2 linked regions of the Anolis sagrei genome follow. The protein of the gene in region 1 purifies or fractionates together with the protein of each later gene. This does not show direct contact. Links are inferred from orthologs where the notes say so. Each region holds a gene or a part of one and is shown in the gene's direction. Other genes may lie near its edges.

What was found.
Region 2: the proteins of MRGBP (region 1) and EPC2 purify together in Homo sapiens (co-immunoprecipitation; 4 studies listed by BioGRID and IntAct, counting the BioPlex papers as one, with this or other methods). This does not show direct contact. The link is inferred for Anolis sagrei from reciprocal best matches to the Homo sapiens genes MRGBP and EPC2.

What each region holds. Positions count from the first base shown.
Region 1 is NC_090024.1:234,245,674-234,258,108, forward strand, and holds the start of MRGBP (MRG/MORF4L-binding protein), read left to right. Parts: upstream 1-7,006; 5' UTR 7,007-7,073; coding exon 7,074-7,317; intron 7,318-10,557; coding exon 10,558-10,679; intron 10,680-11,063; coding exon 11,064-11,145; intron 11,146-12,435.
Region 2 is NC_090021.1:206,270,660-206,283,170, reverse strand, and holds the start of EPC2 (enhancer of polycomb homolog 2), read left to right. Parts: upstream 1-7,894; 5' UTR 7,895-8,202; coding exon 8,203-8,355; intron 8,356-12,511. UniProt on the Homo sapiens protein: May play a role in transcription or DNA repair.

The sequences.
Region 1 (12,435 bases):
ATTTATAATTCGGTGGCACACCAGAACCATACCATGGTTTGCACATGAAGAGATGGCGCAGAACCAGGAAATCTAAGTCTACATCTACACTGTCATGTAATGCAGTTTGGAAGTGCATTATATCATAGAATCATAGAATTGGAAGAGACCTCGTGGGACATCCAGTCCAATCCTCTGCCAATAAGCATGAAAATCGCATTCAAAGCACTCCCAACAGATGATCATCCAACCTCTGTTTAAAAGCCTCCAAAGAAGGAGCCTCTGCCACACTCTGGGGCAGAGAGTTCCACTGCTGAACAGCTCTCCAGTCTCCAGGGCAGCAGAAAAGCTTGCTCCCTCCTCCTTATGACTTCCCCTAACATCTTTATCCATAACCCTCATCATGTCTCCTCTCAGCCTTCTTTTCTGGAGGCTCTTTAAGCCGCTCCTCACAGGGCTTCTTCTCCAGACCATTTTAGTTGCCCTTCTCTGGACACATTCCAGCTTGTCAACATCTCCCTTCAACTGTGGTGCCCAGAAGTGGACACAGTGTGATTCCAGGTGTGGTCTGTCCAAGGCAGAATAGAAGGGTAGCATGACTTACCTGGGTCTCTAGACCCTAGTCTCCTATTTATGCATGCCAAAATCCCATTGGCTTCTTTAGCTGCCATACCACATTTTTGGCTCATGTTTAACTTGTCCACGAGGACTCCAAGATTTTTTCACATGTGCAATTTCACACATGTAATTGATGGATTTACTGCATTATATGGAAGTGTAAATCTAACCTTATATTCCATGGTCCTGCATAATCTTGTCACATGCAAACCATGGTTACCAAAATATGTCTTAATCTATGAGGCAAACTGGTATATCCCCCCTCCCACCCAAGGATGCTCTTTTAATTTTGTGTTCACTTGCAACATTATATCTGCAGTTGGGTATTTTTTAATTAATGCCTTTATTATCTATGTAAGCAATCATTCAAATAATGATTTATATAAATACATTCCAGGGAGGTAATTAATTCCTCCCACTCACATGCATCCTCATCCCCATTGGAATTTGCTAAAACTAACATGAGACTGAGTCATGGATATCTGATATTTTGCCTACTTACCATATATAGTTGAATATAAGTCGATCTCATGGATAAGTTGGGGGCAAAACAGGGGCATGAAACAAAGGATGTAAAGTTAAAATGTGTTTTTGGGGTCTCATGATTTCATCCATTGTTTTGTTTTACTTTCATTTGTTAGATAATTTGTAGTCTAAAATAATGCAACGACTGATAATTGTTTTACATTTTGAGCTGTTTTATTTGCATCTATTTTGTTTTATTTGCATCTATTTTGTTTTATCAAATAAGAACAGGTCTTACCATTATGAAAACTGAGAAATTCTGTTAAGGAATTCACTGAATGATCTTTATTTATTTGTCATGAGATTTGCGTATTCCTTTTGCAGCTTGTACGTGAAGACAGTTTGCATTTTAATATCATAAAAATAGATTGATTCCTATTTGTTAGGCATCATTTCGCAGTAATTTAAAGGCACTCCTGAGAAAGATTGTATTATAATGGTGGGGAAGATGGGAGATAAATGTTGATATAAATGTTGAATAAAATAGCATTACTTAGGATGGGTGCAATCTACATAAAATCAGACTGTAACATTGGGAGTGGTCAAGATAGAAATCCGAATAATAAGATTTTGCATTGCATATAATGTACTGTTACATTATGATTATAGGGCTTCCAACATATAAGTTCTCATATACGTTGGAATCCCTATAAGTTGTACTAAATCTTTTCCAAAAAGAACTTGCAAACAGCTGGGGCTTTTGCAAAAAGCACAAAGGCTTGAAAATACATCCCTTCCATTTTATGTTCTCAGCCATAATTAGGAGTCATTGCAAATTTAAAGCCAAAGAGCATCTTGTTGTTTATTTGTTCAGTCGCTTCCAACTCTTTGTGATCTCATCGACCAGCCCAGGCCAGAGCTCCCTGTCGGCCATCACCACCCCCAGCTCCTTCAAGGTCAAGCCAATCACTTCAAGGATACCCTCCATCCTTCTTGCCCTTGGTCGGCCCCTCTTCCTTTTTCCTTCCATTTTCCCCAGCATCATTGTCTTCTCTAAGCTTTCCTGTCTTCTCATCAATGATGCCATTAGCGGAACCATGAAGGGACACCCAAGACAGGACAGTCATGGCAGAGAGGTCAGACCAAACGCGATCCCTGGGAAAGGTAATGGCAACCCACCCCAGTATTCTTGCCAAGAAAACTAAATGGACCAGTACAACCAAAAAGCATATTTAGGTTATCACACTAAGCTTGCAGTTTGTGTTTCAGGCTCCCTAACCATGAATGGAAAGGCTTGTCATCACACAACATCATTCTACTCATTTCAAACTGGTGTTCAGTTGGGGCCTCATCAATTCTACACTGATCATTTAATGCTGTTTGATGCTAGCTAGCTAGGTTCAAACTCCCTCTCTTTACAGGCACCTGAAAGTGCTTTGAATTGGTGTTCAAACTGTTTTCAGGTGGTGCGATAATTTAAAAGTGCTTCTGCAGTGGGTTTGGAGACAATGACATGTGATTATGGGTGTGTTGGTAGGCATCACTTTGAACTGCTTGACTATTCCATGGCCGAACTGCTTACTGTTTGTGAGCAGCACTAGGGGACCTCTATCGGCAGACATAACTTCCCTCTTTCACCCTGTTCCCTTCCTCCTCCTCCTCCTCCTCCTTCTTCTTCTTATCATCCAAGGAGCTATTGGAGGACCTATGAGTTTTAAAGGCCATTTTAAGTGTATTTATTGTATTTTAATTCTATTTTTTTAACCACACTGTTCCTATTTAATTGTTTTTAAATTTTATTGCACTTTTTAAGCTTGTCTAGTGTGGGATAGTTAGTCACTTTGAGTCACCACAGGGAGAAATGCGGGGTATAAATAAAGAGAAGAAGAAGAAGAAAGGAAGAAAAAGAAAGGAAGAAGAAGAAAGGAGGAAGAAGAAAGGAGGAAGGAGGAGGAAGAAGGAGGAGGAGGAAGGAGGAGGAGGAAGGAGAAGGAGGAAGAAGGTGGAGGAGGAAGGTGGAGGAGGAAGGAGGAGGAGGAAGGAGGAAGAAGAAGGGAGAGTAAGGAAGAGGAAGAGTAAGGAAGGAGGGAGGAAGGAAGAGGAAGAGTAAGGAAGAGGAAGAGGAAGGAAGAGGAAGAGTAAGGAGGAGGAAGAGGAAGAGGGAGGAAGAGGAAGGAAAAGGAAGAGGAAGGAAGAAGGAAGAGGAAGAAGAAGGAAGAGAAAGAAGAAGACGAAGAAGAAACTGCACAGTTCCAAAGGTAAAGCACTGAGATTTCTCATCTTAAGTATTTCCTTACTGTTTTCAAGTTGTTTTTTTTTAATCATTTTTGCAAAAGTTCCAGCCTTTTACTAGTCCTTTTTGCAAAAGATGCAGCACATGTATGTCCCTTTAGGTCTAGGCAAGCTTTGCCAATCAAAAGTATGATTCTGAATATGATTTTCCTGCTTCTTGGCAGGGGGCTGGACTGGACAGCTCACGAGATCTCTTCCAATTCTATGATTCTATAATTCTTTGATTCTTACTGCACCTCCTACTGGCAGAATACACAAATCTGGGCTTGTAATTACAAAATGTATGTTATTGTTGTTATTGTTAATCATTTCCTTTCTGTTTGCAAGTCTGTCTTGCAAAACATCCACCTCTTGCATCCATGGTACTTTGGGCTTAGTTTGCCAATCAAAAGTACATCTTTCCCTTACAGAATACACAACTTCTATTGTGTATTCTGCTCCTTACAGAATACACAACTTGTATTGCGTATTTGTAGTTGGTATAAACTTTAGTGTGTGTCTTATATTTGACGGCATCTTAGAACTGGAAAAATGTGGTAATGTGAAAAACTTGGTATAGCAAGTTGTTGAAGTCTCATAGTTGTGCTATTCTTCCAGAAAAATACATTTAAAAGGGGGACAAAGAGAAGGATTGAGAGGAGAAAAATTCCAGCAACTGTGGCAAGTGTTGTTGTTGTTCTCCTTCTTCCTCTTCTTCTTGTATTTGTCTGTAAAAGAAAACTCAAAGGTTTCTTCAAGTGCTTGCACATAGATTTGTGCCATAAGATCAGTTTGTTATCCTGGTCTTCCCCAGTTCAAAGCAAAATGGGTTTGCAACACAGAATCCATTTTTAGATCTTTGTTCAGAGAGGTCCTAAGTTTAATGCTCTGTGGTTTTTCCATTGGTGATGTTTAGCTGAACTTACTCGTGAACCCATTAACTTGCTTTAAGTGTTTGAAAGAACCTGTCATCATTATAGGTACACTGCAAGGTAAGTGCCAGTACTCTTCATTGCGGCTGGGTGTCTGAATGTGTCAACAACTTTCTTTCCCTCTTTGGTTCCTTAAAAAGGTCATTTGTGAAGTACGAGAAACTTCATCATTTGGAATTTCTGCTGGTGTTGTTGAATACCGCCTCAAAGTGTATCTATGATACCAGAGTGATTTGTGCTGCTTAATGTCAGCCGGCAGATTAAAAATTCAATTTAATAACAAACCACGGTAGTCTCATCTCCCAAGCAACACAGACTTTGCCTCATCTTTGTTGAAGCAAGCAACAAAGGACTTTATTTCTGTGTAAGCCTTGTAAAAAGAAACAAAGGACTTTATTTGACATGTCTTAATCTGACCCTAAGCTATGCCACTTTTACGAGACTCAACGGGTATCTTCTTCTACCAATTATGCAAAGTTTTAATTGGGAGTGTGTTTAGAAGCCCTTATAGAACGTAGGGGTAAACCCAGGCCCTTTGGGCTCTTTTCTCAGGCCCTCCTGTTTCTCACCATCCTATCCTTCCTTTCTTCTCTCTTTCCTTCCTCCTTCCCTCCCTCTTTCCCCTTCCCTTCCACCTTTTCATCCTTTCTTCCTCTTTTCTTCCTCCTTCCTTCTTTCTTTCTCAATCTCTCCTTCCCTCCCTTCCTTTTGTCCTTCCTTCCTACCTTCTCTCCCTTTTTCCTTCCTTCGCTCCCTTTTGTGTTTTCTTCCTTTTCTCTTTCCTTCCTCCTTCCCTTCCTTTCTTCCTTCCCTCCCATTCTCCTTCCCTTTCCATCCTTTCCATCCTTTCGTCCTTCCCTCCCTCCCTTTTTCTTTACATCCTTCCCTCCCACCCTTTCGTCCTTCCTTCCTTCCGTTTTGTCATTCCTTCCCTCTCTTTTTCCTTCCTCCTTCCCTTCCTTCCATCCTTTTATCCTTCCTTCCCTTTTGTCTTTCCTTCCTTTCCTCTTTACTCTCTCCTTCCCTCTCTTCCTCTTTCTCCTTCCATCCTTCCCTTCCGCCCTTTCATCTTTTCTTCCTTCTCTCTTTCCTTCCTCTTTCCCTTTCTTTCTTCCATCACCGGGCAGCCAGTCCTCCTAGCAGGGAATGATAGCATATGGTCCCCAAGTTAGAAAGTTTGTCCATGCCTGCCTTATAGTTCGATGCTCCAAACTACAGCTTAGTTTGTGTCTAAATCTGTAAACAAATTTATTGTGTGTGGTTTATAGCTATTTCACAGCTGGAGGTCAACTGTGACAAGCAGTGCTGCAGAATTTGAAGAGGCACGAATGGAGGGCAAAAGAGAGAAACGTGACAAGAGGAAGGTGTGTCAAGCCAACCCCGACTGGGGCCGCCTTCCACTTATGAACCAATGCCCTCACTGCCGCCTTCCACTTATGAACCAATGCCCTCACTGCAGGAGATATATTTATTTATCGTGTCATCCACAACCAGAACATTGTATTACATTTCTAACAGAACAAAACAAACAAACAGATAAAAAAACAACACAAATTTTGCAAACTTGGTAGCTGATTAAATGTCCTTTGACCAGTATCTGGCCACTTGGAGTGCCTCTGGTGTTGCCGCAAGAAGGTCCTCCATCGTGCATGTGGCAGGGCTCAGGTTGCATTGCAGCAGGTGGTCTGTGGTTTGCTCTTCTCTGCACTCGCATGTCGTGGATTCCACTTTGTACCCCCTTTTCTTAAGTTTGGCTCTGCATCTCGTGGTGCCAGAGCGCAGTCTGTTCAGCGCCTTCCAAGTCGCCCAGCCTTCTGTGTGCCCAGAGGGGAGTCTCTCATCTGGTATCACCCACGGATTGAGGTGCTGGGTTTGAGCCTGCCACTTTTGGACTCTCGCTTGCTGGGGTGTTCCAGCGAGTGTCTCTGTAGATCTAAGAAAACTATGTCTTGATTTAAGTCGTTGACGTGCTGGCTGATACTCAAACAGGGGATGAGCTGGAGATGTCTCTGCCTTGGTCCTTTCACTATTGGCTGCTACTTCCCGGCAGATGTCAGGTGGTGCAATACCGATTAAGCAGTGTAATTTCTCTAGTGGTGTGGGGCGCACACACCCTGTGATAATGCGGCATGTCTCATTAAGAGCCACATCTACTGTTTTAGTGTGGTGAGATGTGTTCCACACTGGGCATGCAGACTCAGCAGCAGAGTAGCATAGCGCAAGGGCAGATGTCTTCACTATGTCTGGTTGTGATCCCCAGGTTGTGCCAGTCAGCTTTCGTATGATGTTGTTTCTACCGCCCACTTTTTGTTTGATGTTCAGGCAGTGCTTCTTGTAGGTCAGAGCACGGTCCAAAGTGACTCCCAGGTATTTGGGTGCGCTGCAATGCTCCAGTGGGATTCCTTCCCTGGTAATCCTCAGAGCTCGGGATGCTTGTCTGTTCTTAAGGTGAAAGGCACATGTCTGTGTTTTAGATGGATTAGGGATCAGTTGGTTTTCCCTGTAGTAGGCAGTAGGAGCACCTAGAGCTTCGGAGAGCTTCTATTGTACCATCTCAAAGCTCCCTGCTTGAGTGGTAATGGCACGATCATCAGCATAGATGAAACTCTATGTCCCTTCTGGCAGTGGCTGGTCATTTGTGTAAATGTTGAACATGGATTATTATTGTGATGACTCAGTGATGGGAATCTGCGTTCCTTCTGAAGTGTAATACACGACTCGGCCTCGAGGGGGCGCTGTTCGCTAAGGGCGCTGCTGTGCGGCCTAGACGCGAGCGCGCATCCTCGGCCTGTGTTAGCGGAGCAGGCCATGGGCGAAGCCGAGAGCTCGGCCGGGACTGCGGCGGAGGGGAAGCCGCCTTGCCCCGCCGTGGGGACTGCGACGGAGGAGGAAGCCGCGGCGTCCACCACGGCCTTGACGACCTCCTCCTCGTCCTCTTCCATGGCGACTGCGCTCCCCCCGCCTCTGCCGCCTCTCCCCGCGCCGCCCGTGGTCTGGAGCCCCGAGGTGGAGGTCTGCCTCTTCCACGCCATGCTGGGACACAAGCCCGTCGGTGAGAAACAGAGCGAGAAAACAGAGCGAGAAAGGACCAGGCCGCAGATGAAGCCTCGGGCTCGAGTAGCTCCACTGCCCGAGGAGGAGGCGGGGCCGGCTGGGGAGAGGGTGGGAGGGAACTCCGTCTGTGCCTGCCTCTTTCTCTTCGGACTTCAACTCCCAGAAGCCTCTGCCGCTTTGGCCAATCAGCAGGCATTCTGGGAACTGAAGTCCCAAACCCCTGGAAGGCCCATTCGAATGAATGAATACAGTTTGACCCTGTCTTGGGATTTGTACTTTGGCAGAGAGGGGTGAAGGCCTGGTGGAACTACAACTCCCATGATTCCATAGCATTCAGCCATGACAAAATGCATTCAATCATGGGCCTATTGTAATGTTTACACATAACTTACACTCCCCCTGAAGCCACAGGTCCGCAGTTTGGGGGTCCTCTTGGATTCAACGCTCACACTTGAGGCTCAGGCGTCGGCGGTGTCTGGGAGGGCTTTCGCACAACTGAGACTCGTGCGCCAACTGCGACCGTACCTCGCGAAGACGGATCTGGCCGGAGTGGTCCATGCCTTGGTCACCTCCAGATTGGACTACTGCAATGCGCTCTACGTAGGGCTGCCCTTGAAGACTGGTCCAACGAGCAGCAGCCAGGATGTTAACTGGGGCTCCTTACAGAGAGAGGTCAACCCTCCTGTTCAAGGAGCTCCACTGGCTGCCATTTATTTTCCGAGCCCAATTCAAGGTGCAGTTGCTTACCTACAAAGCCCTGAACGGTTTGGGACCAGCCTACCTGCGTGACCGCATCTCCATCTACGAACCCACACGTTCACTTCGGTCATCTGGAGAGGCCCTGCTCGTGATCCCGCCTGCGTCGCAAGCGCGCTTGGTGGGGACACGAGACAGGGCCTTTTCCGTGGTGGCCCCCCGACTCTGGAACACCCTCCCCAAAGACCTTAGACAGGCCCCTACATTGGCTGCCTTCAGAAAGAACTTGAAGACCTGGCTTTTCCGATGCGCCTTCCCAGATTAGGAAATCTCCACTACCAAGTCCCATAAGCACTTTATCAGAACCAATGATTGCTGCACACCGCACATCGCACTTGCCCTAGAAGCCCTATATACACTTTTGATCTTGTACCCATTACTCTGGCCCGGCCCAGTTTTATTGTGTTTAGTGTATTGTGCCTGTTGTTTATTTTGCTTTATTCTGTTTTTAATTGTTTGATTTGCTTAGATTGTATTGTTGTGTTGTGTGTTGAGGCCTCGGCCTGTGTAAGCCGCATCGAATCCTTTGGGAGATGCTAGCGGGGTACAAATAAAGTTTAATAATAATAATAATAACTATTATTATTATAACAGGCCTAGGCAAATTGGGACCTCCAGGTGTTTTGGACTTCAACTCCCACAATTCCTAACAGCCTCAGGCCCTTTCCTTTCCCCCCCTCAGCCACTTAAGCAAGTAATTAAAAAAAACCAAAGACAATAAATTACACAACATTATCAATAAAACAACACATAATTAAAAACAGTGGGAAGGCCAAATGTAGAGTTAAAATTGGAAATAATGCTGGGACATGAACGCAAGGTGATACTGGTGTTTGTGGAAGGGCATATGAGCAGACTTAAAGAAATGTAAAGTGTATTGTCGAAGGCTTTCATGGCTGGAATCACTAGGTTCTTGTGGGTTTTTTCGGGCTATAGGGCCATGTTCTAGAAGCATTTCTCCTGATGTTTCGCCTGCATCTATGGCAAGCATCCTCAGAGGTAGTGAGGTCTGTTGGAATTAGGACAATTAGGACAATATATCTGTGGAATGGCTGGGGTGGGGCAAAGAGCTCTTCCCTGCTGGAGCTAGGTGTGAATGTTTCAACTGACCAACTTCATTAGCATTTGAAGGCCTGGCTGAGCCTGGGAAAATCTTTTGTTGAGAGGTGTTAAGATGTGCCTGGTTGTTTCCTCTCTGCTGTTTTGCTGTTGTAATTTTAGAGTTTTTTAAATACTGGTAGCCAGATTTTGTTCATTTTCATGGTCTCTTCCTTTCTGCTGAAATTGTCCACATGCTTGTGGATTTCAGTGGCTTCTCTGTGTAGTCTGAGATGGTGGTTGTTGGTGTGGTCCAGCATTTCTGTGTTCTCAAATAATATGCTGTGTCCAGGCTGGTTCATCAGGTGCTCTGCTATGGCTGACTTCTCTGGTTGAAGTAAAGTGGTTAAATGTAAAGCGCTTTGGAGGACAAAGTGCTATGGGATCATCCCTATATCACAGAATGTCAAGGCAGAAAATCCAAAAATACCTGCTTTGGACTGGGTTAACTGAGTCCACACTGCCATATATTCCATTTCAAAGCAGATAATGTGGGATTTTATTCAACTGTCTGGAAGGGGCTTAAGGCCCCTTCTACACTGCCATATAAAATCCAGATTATCTGCTTTGATTATATGGCAGTGTCGATTTACATAATCCAGTTCAAAGCAGATAATAAGACTGGAATAAGACTCTGTCCAGTTCTGTGCAAAGCACTCCAAGAAGAATATGGACAAGCTGGAATGTGTCCAGAGAAGGACAGCCTTGATGGCAAAAAAGTCTGGAAGCCAAGCCTTGTGAGGAAAGGCTTGGAGTGCTTAGCTTGGAGAAAAGAAGTCTGGGAGAAAGGAACATGATATCCCTGTTTAAATATTTGAAAGGATGTCTCATTGATGAGGAGGCAAGCTTGTTTTCTGCGGTTCTGAAGACTAGGACATAGAGCAGGACTTCAACTCTCACAATTCCTAACAGCTGGTAGGCTGTTAGGAATTGTGGGAGTTGAAGTTCAAAACTCCTGGAGGTCCAAAAGTTTGTCCATGCCTGCCGTAGAGCAATGGATTCAAACTGCGGGAAGAGAGAGCTCACCTACACATTAAGAAGAACTTTCTGATGGTAAGAGCTGTTCGGCAGCGGAATATGCTGCTGCTGGAGTCTTCTTCACTGGAGCTTTTTAAGTAGAAGCTGGGTGGCCATCTGTCAAGGAGGCTTTGATTGTATATCCCTGCCTGGCACGATGGGATTGGACTGGATGGCCTTTGGGATCTCTTCAAATGCTATGATTCTTTGTTATAAAATGTTCACTCACAAAACCTCAGTATCATTGGTCATAATCAGACACATGTTTTATTTATTCAATTCGGATATTTGCTTGTATTGCCTCCTATATGATGGTAAAGTGAACTTCAGCAAAAGATGCCTTTCTTTGTTCCTCTTTACCCATTAGGTGTGAATCGCCATTTTCACATGATCTGTATCCGAGATAAGTTCAGTCAAAATATTGGGAGGCAGATTTCTTCCAAAGTTATCTGGGACCACTTGAGTACCATGTATGACATGCAAGCACTGGTGAGTGTTTCCCCACAAGAAACAGGCTATTCCAGTGTTGTTTGTTGTTTGTATTTACTTTTATCTCTATGATTGACATGCAAAGCAGCTGAAAACAACTGAAAAACAGTAACTTAATATCTCCAGCGTATAAGTATTAAAACACAATTAAACATTGGTTTAAATCACTTAAACACAGTTAAAATACTTCATTTTAAAGCTTTCATATTTAAAGAGTATCTCTCATTTATTGTCAGTTTTCTTTGTTTTAAAATACTTGGAAATATTTTGCATTTGGGTGGTAAAATTTTATTTGTGAAGATACTGACTTTACATACTTTTTCATAAATATTCAATTGTCATTATAACTATTTCAATAACACTAGTATTTATGTTGTTTCCAAGCATGAGTCTGAGATTCTTCCCTTTCCCAACTCAGAAAAAAACTTCATTCTCCCTGAAGAAATTATCCAAGAGGTAAAAGAAGGTGAGATCCATTAAAGGCTTTTATATCAGTGCCATGTGTTGTTTATATACCACAGTTTTGAACTTGGGGCTCTTCTACTATGTTTAGTCTTTTTGACTGTACTTCTCCACATCTCTACTCAGACCTTAGTAGTTTTAAAGCCAATGTATGTGCGTATGAGGTTGAAGCCTTATAGTACAGTTCAGCTATTTCTGTTGTCTGCATTCAAATTATTTCCAACTTATAGTGGCCTTGAGGTGAACCAGTCATGGAGTCTATTTGGCAAGATTAGTTCAAGGGAAAATGGCCATTATTTTCCTCTGAGTGAGTCTAGCCCAAGGATAGATTTCCATAGGTTTCATAGAGAGATTCCATAGATTTGAAAGGCTACAGATATGCCCTTGTGTGCTTGATAGGCCTTTCCTCAGATAGGTATATTTGGAACTTCTTAGGAAATACTTAGAAAAGACCATATATGATTTAAAATACGGTAGTTTTCCAAACTATGTGTTCAGCTTCAGTGTGTAGGTGTGTTATGTGAACATAAGGAGACTATAACAAAAATTTTGGAAATGTATATTATTATCTTACAAATCATATATTATTTTAAAAGCTTATATAAATCAAAGGTTTGCATCAGATATGGTGTCCTCTTATGTTTCGTTATGACTATTTATGTACGTGTCCGTATTTCTTATAAGGGGTTGGTTAACCTCTAGTTTGCCCGTAAACCTGAATTACTGTGTCGCCAAATGAGGCATGTCTAAAAGGTGTGTCACTAACATGAAATATTTGAAAAGTTCTGCATTTGGTGGTTTGGTGGACCACCAAACGCAGCATTGCCCAGACACAAATCAAGGAACATGAAAGGCACTGCAGACTAACTCAACTAGAGAAGTCAGCCATAGCAGAGCACCTGATGAACCAACCTGGACACAGCATATTATTTGAGAACACAGAAATGCTGGACCACTCCAACAACCACCATGTCAGACTACACAGAGAAGCCATTCAAATCCACAAGCATGTGGGCAATTCCAACAGAAAGGAGGAAACCATGAAAATGAACAAAATCTGGCTACCAGTATTATAAAAAAATCCTAAAATCAGGACAGTAAATAAAGAGCAACACTCAAAACAACAGGGGCATTCCAGAAAGGAAAATTCAGGGCCAGCTAAACTCTCCCAACAAAGGATTCTCCCAGGCAGCAACGCGCCAGGCATTGAAGCTGCAAGGCCATTGAATGCTAATCTAGGTGACCATTTGCAACATTCACACCTGTCTCACACAGACAAGGGATCTTTCTTCCA
Region 2 (12,511 bases), on another chromosome or scaffold:
GTGGGTCCCCAGGTGTTTTGGCCTACAACTTTCAGAAATCCCAACCAGTTTACCATCTGTTAGGATCTCTGGGAGTTTAGGACAAAACTTCTGGGGACCCACAGGTTGAGAACCACTGAACTAGAGCAACTGCCCACCTGAGTACACTTATTGGTTCTATCTTCCTTGCTCCACTTGCCTGGTGCTGTCATTTTCTTTCCCCCATTTCTGGAATGAACAAAATAGCTATTCTTAGCAGAATACCTTGTTGGAACTATAACTCACAGTTGGAATATTTGGAAAGCTGTAGTCCGAAAAAAAAGATAAATGTTCATAACACAGGTCCTTGGTTAGAACTTAGCAGACTTTTGCGGGCAATAACATCCAACAACTCTCAAGCAGGGCCATTGCTTAAGCCCAATAATTTCTGGTCCTGATGTGATAATTCAGAATAAATTATCTTCAAATTTGGTAGCCCATTATAACCTAAATGTCCTGCTCAGATAGGATATGTTTGCCTGATTCTTATAATTCCTTTAATAGTGATAGTTGATTAAATATTGCCTGTGAAGATGCCCCATAGCAATTATACCAGTGAACAAACTTCTAAAAATTACAAAAATTGCACTAAACATTTAGCATGTTTTAAAAAACATGTGTGCAAAAAACAGGTATGATAGCTAAGTAATATATATGGATATATGTTAGATATACTTGGAGATAAGAAACAAGCTGTGTCCTCAATGTATTGTGATCTGCTGGAGGCTCTCCTTGAAAAATACCCAAAGGTTTTAGATGCCCCACAGAATACAGCTGTTGTCCTCTTTCACTTGACGTCAAAAGCTCAGGTCTTGAAGCTTGACCCCGGATGCTTCTGGAGGCAACTGGAGACTCTGATCATTATCTTCCCAAGCCATGAATGGCATTTTCCTCTGTGTTTTTGTTGTTCTAATTTAATTTGCTGTGAGCATTACTCGAGGGTGGATTTGTTTGTGCTGCTTTTGGTTGCTAATTTGGGTTGTTTTCAGCTCTGGGTGTGTATCTTTGGTGGCACTTGACAGTCTTGCAGCAATATATTGTGTGACTTATTGTGGACTTAACAGTTATGAATGCTTTGAGGTGTTATTTTCATGACTTATCCAGGGCTGTTTCACTAAGAGTCTATGTTACATGCCCATGAGGCTGTGACAATGAAACAAATACGTCAATCAAGAATGTCTCGTGTTTGAATAACAAGGGATTTGTGGCACATTAAAGATGAACCAGAAAAGTGGATGGTCATCCACTTCATCTGATGTGTTTACTGGGAAACAAAATTTAAAAGACAGAATTTTTTAAATGGACGATACATTTTAATCAATATTTTAAATCTTTTAAAAAAAAACCAATTTAAACCCTTTTCGCTGTTGGGGTTTGTCTGGCAAGTGTGTAAGTATGTTCAAAATGTTGAAATTGGGAGGATAAATTAGTAGATTTTCAGCTGTGATGCTAAAGTGGAAATTTGCTGCTGTTACTGTTTGGGTTCCCAATCTCCTGTTCTCTTGGGAAAGGTACAGCTAAGGAAAAATCAAGTTGAGCTACCAGAAGTTAAGGGTGAGATCCCCACCAACCTGGCACTCAGTAACTCCATTGCAAGCTCTCCAGGCAGTTTGTGGGGTGCATCTACACTGCAGAACAGGCATGGACAGACTTTCTAACTTGGGGGCCGCGTACTAGCACTTCCTTCTAGGGGGACTGGCTTCCGGGTGACAGAAAGAAGGAAGGGAAGGAGAAAGGACAGAGAGAAGGAAGGAAAGACAAAAGGAAGGAAGGGAAGAATGGAAGGAGAAAGAAGGAGAGAAGGAAGGAGGGGGGAAAGAGGGAAGAAAAGACAAAAGGGAAGGATAGAAGGAATGATGAAAGGGTGGAAGGGAAGGATGAAAGGAAGCAAGGAAAGGAGGAAAGAGAAAGAGAAGGTAGGAAGAAAGGGAGGAAGAGAAGGATGGATGGATGGAAGGAAGGAATGGAAAGATAAAGGAAAGAGAGAAAGAAGGAAAGACAAAAGGGAAGGAAGGAAGGGAGGGAAGGAGGGGGGAAGGAAGGAAGGAAGGGTCGAAGGGAAGGATGGAAGGAGAAAGAGGGAGGGAAGAGAGGAGGAAGGAAAGAGATAAGGAAAGTCAAAAGGGAGGGAAGGGTGGAAGGGAAAGATTGAAGTAAAGAAGAAAGAAGGAGGAAGGTAAGAGAGCAGGAAGGAAGGATAAAAGATTGGGAGGAAATAGAAGGAAGGAGAAAAAGAGAGGGAAGGAAGAGAGGGAGGATGAAGGAAAGACAAATGGAGGGAAGGAAGGAGTAAGAGGGAAGAAAGGAAGGATGAAAGGGTGGAAGGGAAGGAGAAAGAGGGATGGGGAGGAAGGAAAGAGAAAAGGAAGGCTAGGGTGATGAGAGAGAGGAGGCCTGAGGGAAGAGCTCAAGTGGCTGCATCTGGAACCGCTTCAACTGCTGTGGGAGTAATAGTTTGGTGAGGCATCAGCAGGCTTTGGCATAGAAAGCTGATGACCTTGTAAAACTATGACTCCCAGGATTTATTGCATTCAGCAATGGTAGTTAAAAGTGGTATCAAACTGAATTAATTCTACAGAGTAGATTCATCCTAGGACTCTAGTTCCTCACAGTACTAGTCAGTTTTGTTGGGAACAATTCATCAAAGCCTGAAGAAATTATTATTATTATTATTATTATTATTATTATTATTATTATTATTATTAATTATGGGTTATTTACCTTTTCTCTAACAAATGGGGAGTTAGAACAAACCACATGGAATCTGATCTCAGGTAAAAGAACATGCTGACCAAACCTTTCATTATTACTATTGTCTGAAAACCATTGCTCTTTTTAAAAATCGTGTCAGAAGCAACTTGAGAAACTGCAAGTCGCTTCTGGTGTGAGAGAATTGGCCATCTGCAGAGACGTTGCCCAAGGGACGCCTGGATGTGTTCCCATCCTTGGGAGGATTTTCTCATGTTCCCACATGAGAAGCTGGACCTGACACCCCATCTTGCGGATTCGAACTGTCAATCTTCAGGTCAGCTGGCATAAGGGTTTAATCCATTGCACAACCGCGGCTCCTGATTTCACCATTGCTTTGATTTCACATGGACCAGATTTATGTAAGGTTTACCAGAGTCTTCACTGCTGCCAGGCAGCTGCCTAAGCCCTGTTGTTCTGTTTCATTTGAACATTTTCATCTAAAATAATACATTTCAGCTACCTTTTGCCCTGATTGGAGAGACACCTTGTAGGTAAGCACTATCATTGGCTACCTCCTACAATGCTTCAACAATCAATTTCTTCTCTTTAGCTATATCTTTCTAGTTTCTATCTAGCTTGTAAAATATGCCACCAAAACAACCTCCTAAGTCTTTCAGTTAATTGGCAATTCAGTTATCTTTCTGGCTGTTAACAATAGATTTGTAAGAACTCATTTACAGACAACTAGAGGCAATGAAGGTGTGACTAAGATTCATTGTAATGATAACTTAAGAAGTAATGTGTTGTCCAAGGCTTTCATGGCCAGAATCACTGGGTTGCTGTGAATTTTCCAGGCTGTATGGTTATGTTCCAGAAGCATTCTCTCCCGATGTTTCACCTGCATCTATGGCAGGCATCCTCAGAAGTTGTGAGGTCTGTTGGAAACGAGGTAATTAGGGTTTATATATTCAGGGTGAGAGAAAGAACTCATGTCTGTTTGAGGCAAGTGTTAATGTAACAATTGGACACCTTGATTAGCATTAAATCACCTTTCAGCTTCAAGGCTTGGTTGGTTGCTGCCCGAGGAAATCCTTTATTGAGAGGTGTTAGCTGGCCCTGACTGATTTGTGTCTGGAATTCCTATATTTTCTGAGTGTTGTTCTTTATTTACTGCGCTGATTTTGGAGGTTGTTTTTTTTTAAAAAAAATACTGGCAGCCAGATTTTGTTCATTTTCATGGTTGCCTCCTTTCTGTTGAAATTGTCCACATGCTTGTGGATTTCAATGGCTTCCCTGTGTTGTCTGACATGGTGGTTGTTCAAGTGGCCCAGTATTTCTGTGTTCTCAAATAATATGCTGTGTCCAGGTTGGTTCATCAAATGCTCTGCTACGGCTGATTTATCTGTTTGAGGTAGTCTACAGTGCCTTTCATGTTCCTTGATTCGTGTTTGGGCAATGCTGCAATGTTTGGGCAATGGTCCCTATGTAGACTTGTCCACAACTGCATGGTATATGGTAGACTTCTGCAGAAGTGAGAGGATCCCTCTTGTCCTTTGCTGAATGAAGCATCTGTTGGATTTTTCTTAATGAGTCTGTAGACCGTTTGTAGTTTGTGTTTCTTTATCAGCTCTCCTATGCAGTCAATTGTTCCCTTGTCTGGCAGTAAGCAGCCAGACTTTGAAGCTGAAAGGCTATTCAATGCTAATATAAGGTGGCCAACTGCAACATTCACACTTGTCTCAAGCAGACAAGAGTTCTTTCTCCCACCCTGGACATGCCACAGATATATAAATTCCTAGTTTCCAACAGACTTTTTTCGGGCTGTATGTCCATGTTGTAGTAGCATTCTTTGGCAGGCATCCTCAGAGGTTTCTTCTTGCACTACTTTGTGTGTCTTTCTGTCCAGTGGCCACTATAGAATGAATGCAGTTTGCCACCATCATTTTTAGCTGCCAAGACCCATTGTTCCGGAATCCTGGGAGTTGTAGTTTTACGAGCTCTCTAGCCTTCTCTGCCCGAGAGCGGCAGTGCTTCACCAAACTTCAATTCCCAGGATTCGATAGCATTGAGAGATGGACATTAAAGTGGTATCAAACTGCATTTATTCTACAATGTATATGCACCCTAACTTTTCAGCAAAACACACATTTGCTATCTCTATCTATTTATCTATCTATGTGGATTTAATGTCCATAATAATTGCATGATTTTTAAAAGCTTCTATCTATTATGTGCATTTATTTTTAAATCTGCCTTGGGCTATTTATGTGCACTTTGTCCCAAAGGACATCAGCTTGTAGCATCCAGATGCTTAAAGTAACTGATAATATTTACTTGTTAGAGAGTATTTAAGTGTTGAGAGACATTGCTAGGAGCAAGGGTTTTGGTATTGGAAAAGTGCTTTGGAAAATAATGAAAACCTTCCTATTAATGTGCAGCAAATCTCAGCCTCGGAGGAAGATGGCAAATCTCCATCCAATGAATTTTGTCAAGAAAATCCTGGTAGTTCCTATCAAATATTTCAAGACATAATTTGTGGGAATTTAAGGTGTAGTTAAAATAAAACTACACCTTAAAAGTCTATTAGCAGCTTAGCGGGTTAAACCGCTAAGCTGCAGAACTTGCCGACCGGAAGGTTGGCGTTTGAATCCGCAAGATGGGGTGAGCTCTCATTGCTAGCCCCAGCTTCTGCCAACCTAGCAGTTCAAAAACATGCAAATGTGAGCATAATAAATAGATAGGAAAGTAATGGTGCTTCATGCACTCATGACCTAGGAGGTGTCTATGGACAACGCCGGCTCTTTGGCTTAGAAATGGAGATGAGCACTACCCTCCAGAGTTGGACTCAATTAGACTTAATATTAAGGAGAAACCTTTACCTTTACATAAACTAAAAAAAAGTTTGATTGAAAATGTTTTTTCAATCAAAAGGAGTTACTTATAAATTTTAAAAAAGCTATGACAACTAAATTTGATATTTGAATCAGAAGCATAGCTATTTATTTTGAGAGTAGTTTTCTGAGCTGTCACTAGAGCACATACCACAATACCCACACTTTGCTTTCCCCCCGCATTGTTCTGCATCTCACCCATTTAGTGTCCTCGGTTATCATTCTGATGTTGTCTCCCTTCTTTTTTGTCAAGCAACCTTCATGCAACCTTCATGAAGCTAAACAGACCATACTGTTCGGCTTGGCTGAAAATAGTGCTCCAGCAACCCACGTTTGTCGAGGTTCTCTGTCCATATCAATCCTCAACCCCCATGTCTATTTTCCTTTGATGGCAATGACTGTGGCCAATGGCTTGTTTTAAGATCTATTCACTGTGTATCACGCAATATTACAAAACTGAGATAAAATGTGAAATTTTATCTCACTCTTCCACTTTAAGAAATATCAGAGATAGATAAGTCCTTTCTTAAAATGCTAGGCTCGTGTGCAGATGGCAAATAATTCAACACTTGTTTCAGTATAATTTTATGAGAATAAATGAAAGAGTGTATCTACACTGTAGAATGAATGCAGTTCGGCACCACTTTAATTGCCATGGCTCAATCTATATATATATTAGTCTGAGAGTGTCTCTCATATATATATGTGTGTGTGTGTGTGTGTGTGTGTGTATACATTTACTTTTTTAGTCTCTCTGAGTATCTCTCAATTATGTGTGTGTTTATATATATACTGTATATGTGTGTGTGTTTATATATATACACATATATGACAGTCTAAAAAAGTAATTATATATATATATATATATATATATAATTACTTTTTTAGACTGTCTGTCATATATGTGTGTGTGTATACACTTTTAGCCTCTGAGTGACTCGCAGTTGTGTGTGTGTGTGTATATATATATATAATTTACTTTTTTAGACTGTCTCTCATATGTGTGTGTGTATTTGCTCTTTTAGTCTAAGAGTGTCTCTCAATTATGTGTGTGTATATATATTACTTTTTTAGACTGAGTGTCTCTCATATATGTGTGTGTGTATTTACTCTTTTAGACTCTCAGAGATTGTCTCTTAATTACGTGAGTGTGTATATTTACTTTTTTAGACTGAGTGTCTCATGTATATATATGTATGTGTGTGTGTATTTACATTTTAGTCTGAGAGTGACTCTCATTTATATGTGTGTATATATATATGTATATAAAATTTACTTTTTAGAGTGCCTCATATGTGTGTGTGTATTTACTTTTTAGTCTGACAGTGTCTTTCAATTATGTGTGTGTATATATATATATATTAATTACTTTTTAAGTCTGAGTCTCTCATATATGTGTGTGTGTGTTTATTCTTTTAGTCTGAAAGTGTATCTCATGAGTGTATGTGTGTGTGTGTGTGTGTATATATATATATATATATATATATATATATATATATATACTTTTTAGAGTCTCTCTCATATATATATGTGTGTGTGTGTTTATTTACATACTGGCCATCCCCTGCCACACGTTGCTGTTGCCCAGTCTGTGTATGTGTTTTGTCTGTGTATTTGTGTATATATGTGGTTTTGTGCATGCATTGTATGTTTTTTTTAAGTCTCTTCTGCTGTGTTTTTCAGTGTTTTTATGAGTGGTGGTCACTCATTGGCCTGATAGGTGCCTTGTGTCCAGATTTGTGCCCCCACATTACTACCCATTGCACACACCATATCTATATATGTCTATTTATTTGTGTGTGTGTGTGTGTAGGAGAGACAATTTCAGACTAAAAAAAAGTAAATGTTAATTTGTCTATATAAATAAAAATGTAATGTTCATTTGTGGGATTAACATAACTCAAAAACACATATAGAGCTAAATTAACATTTACTTTTTGAGTCTGAAAGTGTCTTTGGTAAACACACACACACAAATATATATAGATATACAGTGTGCAATGGTTATTAATGGCTTTTCCCTGGGAGCATCCCAGTGTGGTCCATTCCCCTTAATTCCTCCAGCCTCTCTCTCTCTCATTCGCCCAGCCTTCCCTTTCTCTCTCCCCTTCGCGAGGCAAGGCTGCGCGCGCACCCTCCCCCCCCTCCTCCTCCTCTAGTCCCCCCTCCCTCTCTCCTTCTCTTTCTCTTTTTTTTCTTTCCTCCTCCTCCTCCTCCTCCTCCTCGGAGAGCGCCCCCTCCCCTCCCCTCCGCCCGCGCGCGCTCTCTCTCCCTCTCCTTCTCGTTCTGTGTGTGTGTCTCGCGCTCTCGCTCTCGCGTTGGCTGCCGGGATCGCTGGCCGCTTTGGTTAATGTCCGCCATGTTTGCCATGGCGCAGGGAGCGGGTCGAGCGCGGAGCTAGGGCTGCGGGCGGCTCTGGGCGGCGGGGCTCTCCATGGTGTGTCGGGCCGGGTCCGGGAGCGGCTGGGAGGCGGCGGAGGAGGCCGAGGAGGCGGCGGAGGAGGCGGGCGCGGCGCCGCCGTCGTCGTAGCGCAGCCCCCCTCCCTTCCGCGCCCCCCCCTCCCTGCCTGCCTCCGGGTGCTGGTTGTGAGGGAGCGACACCATGAGCAAACTCTCCTTCCGCGCCCGGGCGCTAGACGCCGCCAAACCGCTGCCCATCTACCGCGGCAAGGACATGCCCGACCTCAACGACTGCGTCTCCATCAACCGCGCCGTGCCGCAGATGCCCACCGGCATGGAGAAGGAGGAGGAATCGGTGAGCCAGGGCTGAGGGCCAGGGGCTGGGGTTGGGGCTGGGGGGGGGGGGCTGGAGTGCGCCGCCGCCGCCATTGTTTATCAGGCCTTTCCCCCTCCCTCCCCTCGCGGGGGAAGGAGGCCATTGGCATTCACCAAGCGCCGCTACGCACGCTCCCCGCCGCTGCGGCGCGCGCTCCCTATGGGGTCCTACGCCAGCGGCGCAGCGTAAGCCCCGCTCCGGCACCGTAAGCCGGGCCTGCCTCCGCCATCTTCTTGGCGGAGTGTTTTGATGAGCGGAGGTGGGGAGGGGGGGCCCTCGCGCTACTGCCGTAAGAGGAGAGCAGCGCAGGCAGAGGCCCTGAATAGCAAAGAGAGCGCGCCGGGCGCTGCTGGCGGAGAGCGCGAGGCCTCCAGCCCCGGCTCCTCGCCGAATCTTGATGCAGAAGGCCCTGCCTGCTTCCTTGCTTGCTTGTTGTGTCCATGCTGACGCCGGCTTGTGAAAGTTTAAAAGTAGCCAGGCCTTAGGGAAGTGAGGTGGTTTTTTACGTCCTGTTTCCACAGGATCGGAATGCAACCTCGTTGTATCTATGAGGCAGTGGATGTGTTTGTATACAAATGCACACACACACACACTGGGGCTTTGATGCGTTTCTGTATGATCGTTGAGTCTATTAGGCAGGGAATGTGTTTGTATACAAATGCACACATACACTAGTGCCCCCGTGAATTTGTGGATACTTTTAATGCAACAACGTTGTGTTTACTAGGCGGTGAATATGTTTGTATACACTCACTGGGGCTTTGATGCATTTTATGATTTTCATGCAACATTGTTGTGTCTATTAGGCATTGGATTTGTTTGTATACAAATGCACACACACTGGAGCTTTGATTCATTTATATATGATTTTCATGCAACATTGTTGTGTCTATTAGGCATTGGATATGTTTGTATACACATGCACACACACACTGGAGCTTTGATGCATTTCTGTGTGATCGTTGAGTCTATTAGGCAGGGAATGTGTTTGTATACAAATGCTGGATAGTTTTAATGCAACAACGTTGTGTGTTTACTAGGCGGTAAATATGTTTGTATACACTCACTGGGGCTTTGATGCCTTTTATGATTTTCATGCAACATTGTTGTGTTTACTAGTCAGTGAATGTGCTGTATACAAATGTGCACATACACTGGTGCCCTGGTATATTTGTGTATACTTTTAATGCAACAACATTCTGTTTACTAGGTAGTGAATATATTTATATACAAATGCAGACATGCACTGGTGCTTTGAAGTATTATTTATAATTTTAATGCAGTGTTGTTCTGTCTATTAGGCAGTGGATGTGTTTGTATACAAATTTACACATACTGGTGCCCAGGTGTATTTGTGTATACTTTTAATGCACCAATGTTGTGTTAACTAGGCAGTGGATGTGATTGTATACACATGCACACACACACTGGGGTTTTCATGCATTTCTATGTGATTTTAATGAAATGCCGTTGTGTTTACTAGTCAGTGAATGTGTTTGTTTACAAATGCACACATATACAGGTGCTTTGAAGTGTTTTGTTCTAAGAGTGGTTCTCAACCTGTGGGTCCCCAGGTGTTTTGGCCTACAACTCCCAGAAATCCCAGACAGTTTACCACTGTTGGGATTTCTGGGAGTTGAAGGCCAAAACATCTGGGGACTCACAGGTTGAGAACCACTGTGTTATAATTTTAATGCAACATTGTTGTGTCTATTAGGCAGTAAATATGTTTTTATGCAAATGCACACATATACTGGTGCCCCAATGTATTTGTGTATACCTTTAATGCAACAATGTGTTATTAGGCAGTTGATGTGTTTGTATGCAAATACAGATACTCATTGGTGCTTTGATGTATTTCTGTATAATTTTATGCAACATTGTTGTGTCTGTTAGGCAGTGAATGTGTGTGTATACAAATGTGCCCATACACTGGTGCCCTGGTATATTTGTGTATACTTTTAATGCAACATTGTTGTGTTTACTAGGTAGTGGATATTTTTGTATACAGTTACACACATATACTGGTGCTTTGATGTATTTCTGTATGGGTTTAAAGAAGCAATGTTGCAGCTACTAGGCAGTGAATATGTGTGTATGTATACAAATACATGTACTGTTTCGCTGATGTATTTCTATATGATTTTAATGAAACAACCTGTCTAATAGGCAGTAAATGTATTTGTATACAAATACACATATGTATTGGCACACTGATGGAGTACCTTTCCATTCTCAGGTTATAGGGAACAGGGAGTTTAAACTGTCAGTAGTTTTGCTTGTTTGTGTAAAACACAAATAAAAATGTCCTGTCTCTGTGATTTGTGCTTATACATGTTAGTAAACAATCTTTGCTTATATTGTTTCTTTCTGTAACTGAAACAAAATTGTTTGCACAATCCTGTACATGTGTCTTGCAGATCATTATTTTTACCAGACTTAATCCCAAACATATATGTGTAAGATCAGCAGGATTGTCGAAGTGGAATCAAAAACAGATCTTTGAGTTAGTGTACACTGATAGGTAGGAGGAAGAATTAGGTTTGTATTGTTCTTATTGTTTTTATCGATTTTATCGATTTTATTGGGATAATGGCTTGAATTGTGGGAACTTTGAATTGTTGTACTTTTGTGATGATTGTTGTGTGGCAGGCATCTAAGTGTGCCTTGCTGTTGTAAGCTGCCCTGGGTCCCCTTCGGGGTGAGAAGGGCGGGGTACAAGAACCCCAAATAAATAAATAAATAAATATGTGTGCATAAAATTGCAGCCTGAAAACTAATTGTCAAAGACCACTGGTGCAGTTGGAACTGAACTGAGTCTTGAATAAAGTTATTTCCTCTTGATAATTGAATTCATGCAATGTGCTGAAGGTGTAAACACAATTTTTTCAATTTCTTCTCATTTCAAGTTGTGGAGTTTGCCATGTTATGAATGTTTTGGATTTTATTTTTAAATCCTATGTGTAGAATGTGCTGCAAGTGTGAAGAAGCAATTTTTTGTCAGTTCTCATCTGTGTTTCAGATTTTATTTTTATTTTCTGTTGTTATACCTTTGCAATGTCTCAGTTAAGATACGTTTTCTGTGAAAATATCTGATCTGTAAAATTGTGTTGCTTGGATACATGCTTCAACAATCTCAGTGTTGAAACATGTATGTTTCAGATGTTGACGCTGGCTTACTTCCTACAGACCAGCCCATAATGTGGTTGTGTTTGCATGCAGAATTGCTAGTAAATGTGTCCTCAAGAATTTCTTCAATGAAAAGCTATCTCCGCCTTACTGTGTTTTGATTGGATTCCCTGAGGTTGTGACTGTCAAAAAAAGGCTGCTCATTTTTGTGATTGGCTTTCTCTTTTGGCTGTTAAAATACGCAGGGATCATTGTAGCCTTTGATTTGTAGTTCATGGTTATAGCCTCAATGTTTTCTCCTTGCTCTACTGCATATTCCACACAGCTAATTCTCTTGTATCTTGTTGGGTGGTGAATTAATAAGTGTGTGTTGTAAATATAAACTACAATCAAGGTGTGTTTACAAATCTCTGGCCCTTCTTTCATGTTAGTTTATCTAAAAGAACAGATAGTTCATCCAACATATGAATGCCAATTTATGGAAGATGTAATAATAAAATTGCAAATACTTATTCCTAAAAATATTATTTTAAATATATACTTGTATGTACTATATAAATTAATTGGTAATTTTGCTGAAGCCATCTTCATAAAAAATCCCCAAAATGCTGCTGAATGTAATTTGTTACCGATTGTTTTGAAATTGTAAAGGCCTGATAAATTGCTCATATAAGCATAAATCTCAGTGTCAAATACTTTAAAAATAAGTTCCATTATTTTTAATGGAAACATATTTTGTAGTGAATTGGATTCCAGCCTGATAGTGCAGTCTTAATTGGGGAAGAAATCCACTGAATGGAACAAAATTAAGCAGGTTCAGCAATGCATGTTGAGTAGATTTTTAGTTGTGTGGTAGACATTATTTTGAATTGGATTTTCTTTTTATATGCTTTATATTTTGAGATAAAATTCACAATGAACTTTAAAAATAATTAAAATTTTAATACATTTTATGTGATTACACACTCATTGGTGATTCCTTCAAACGCAACTACTTATTCTCATC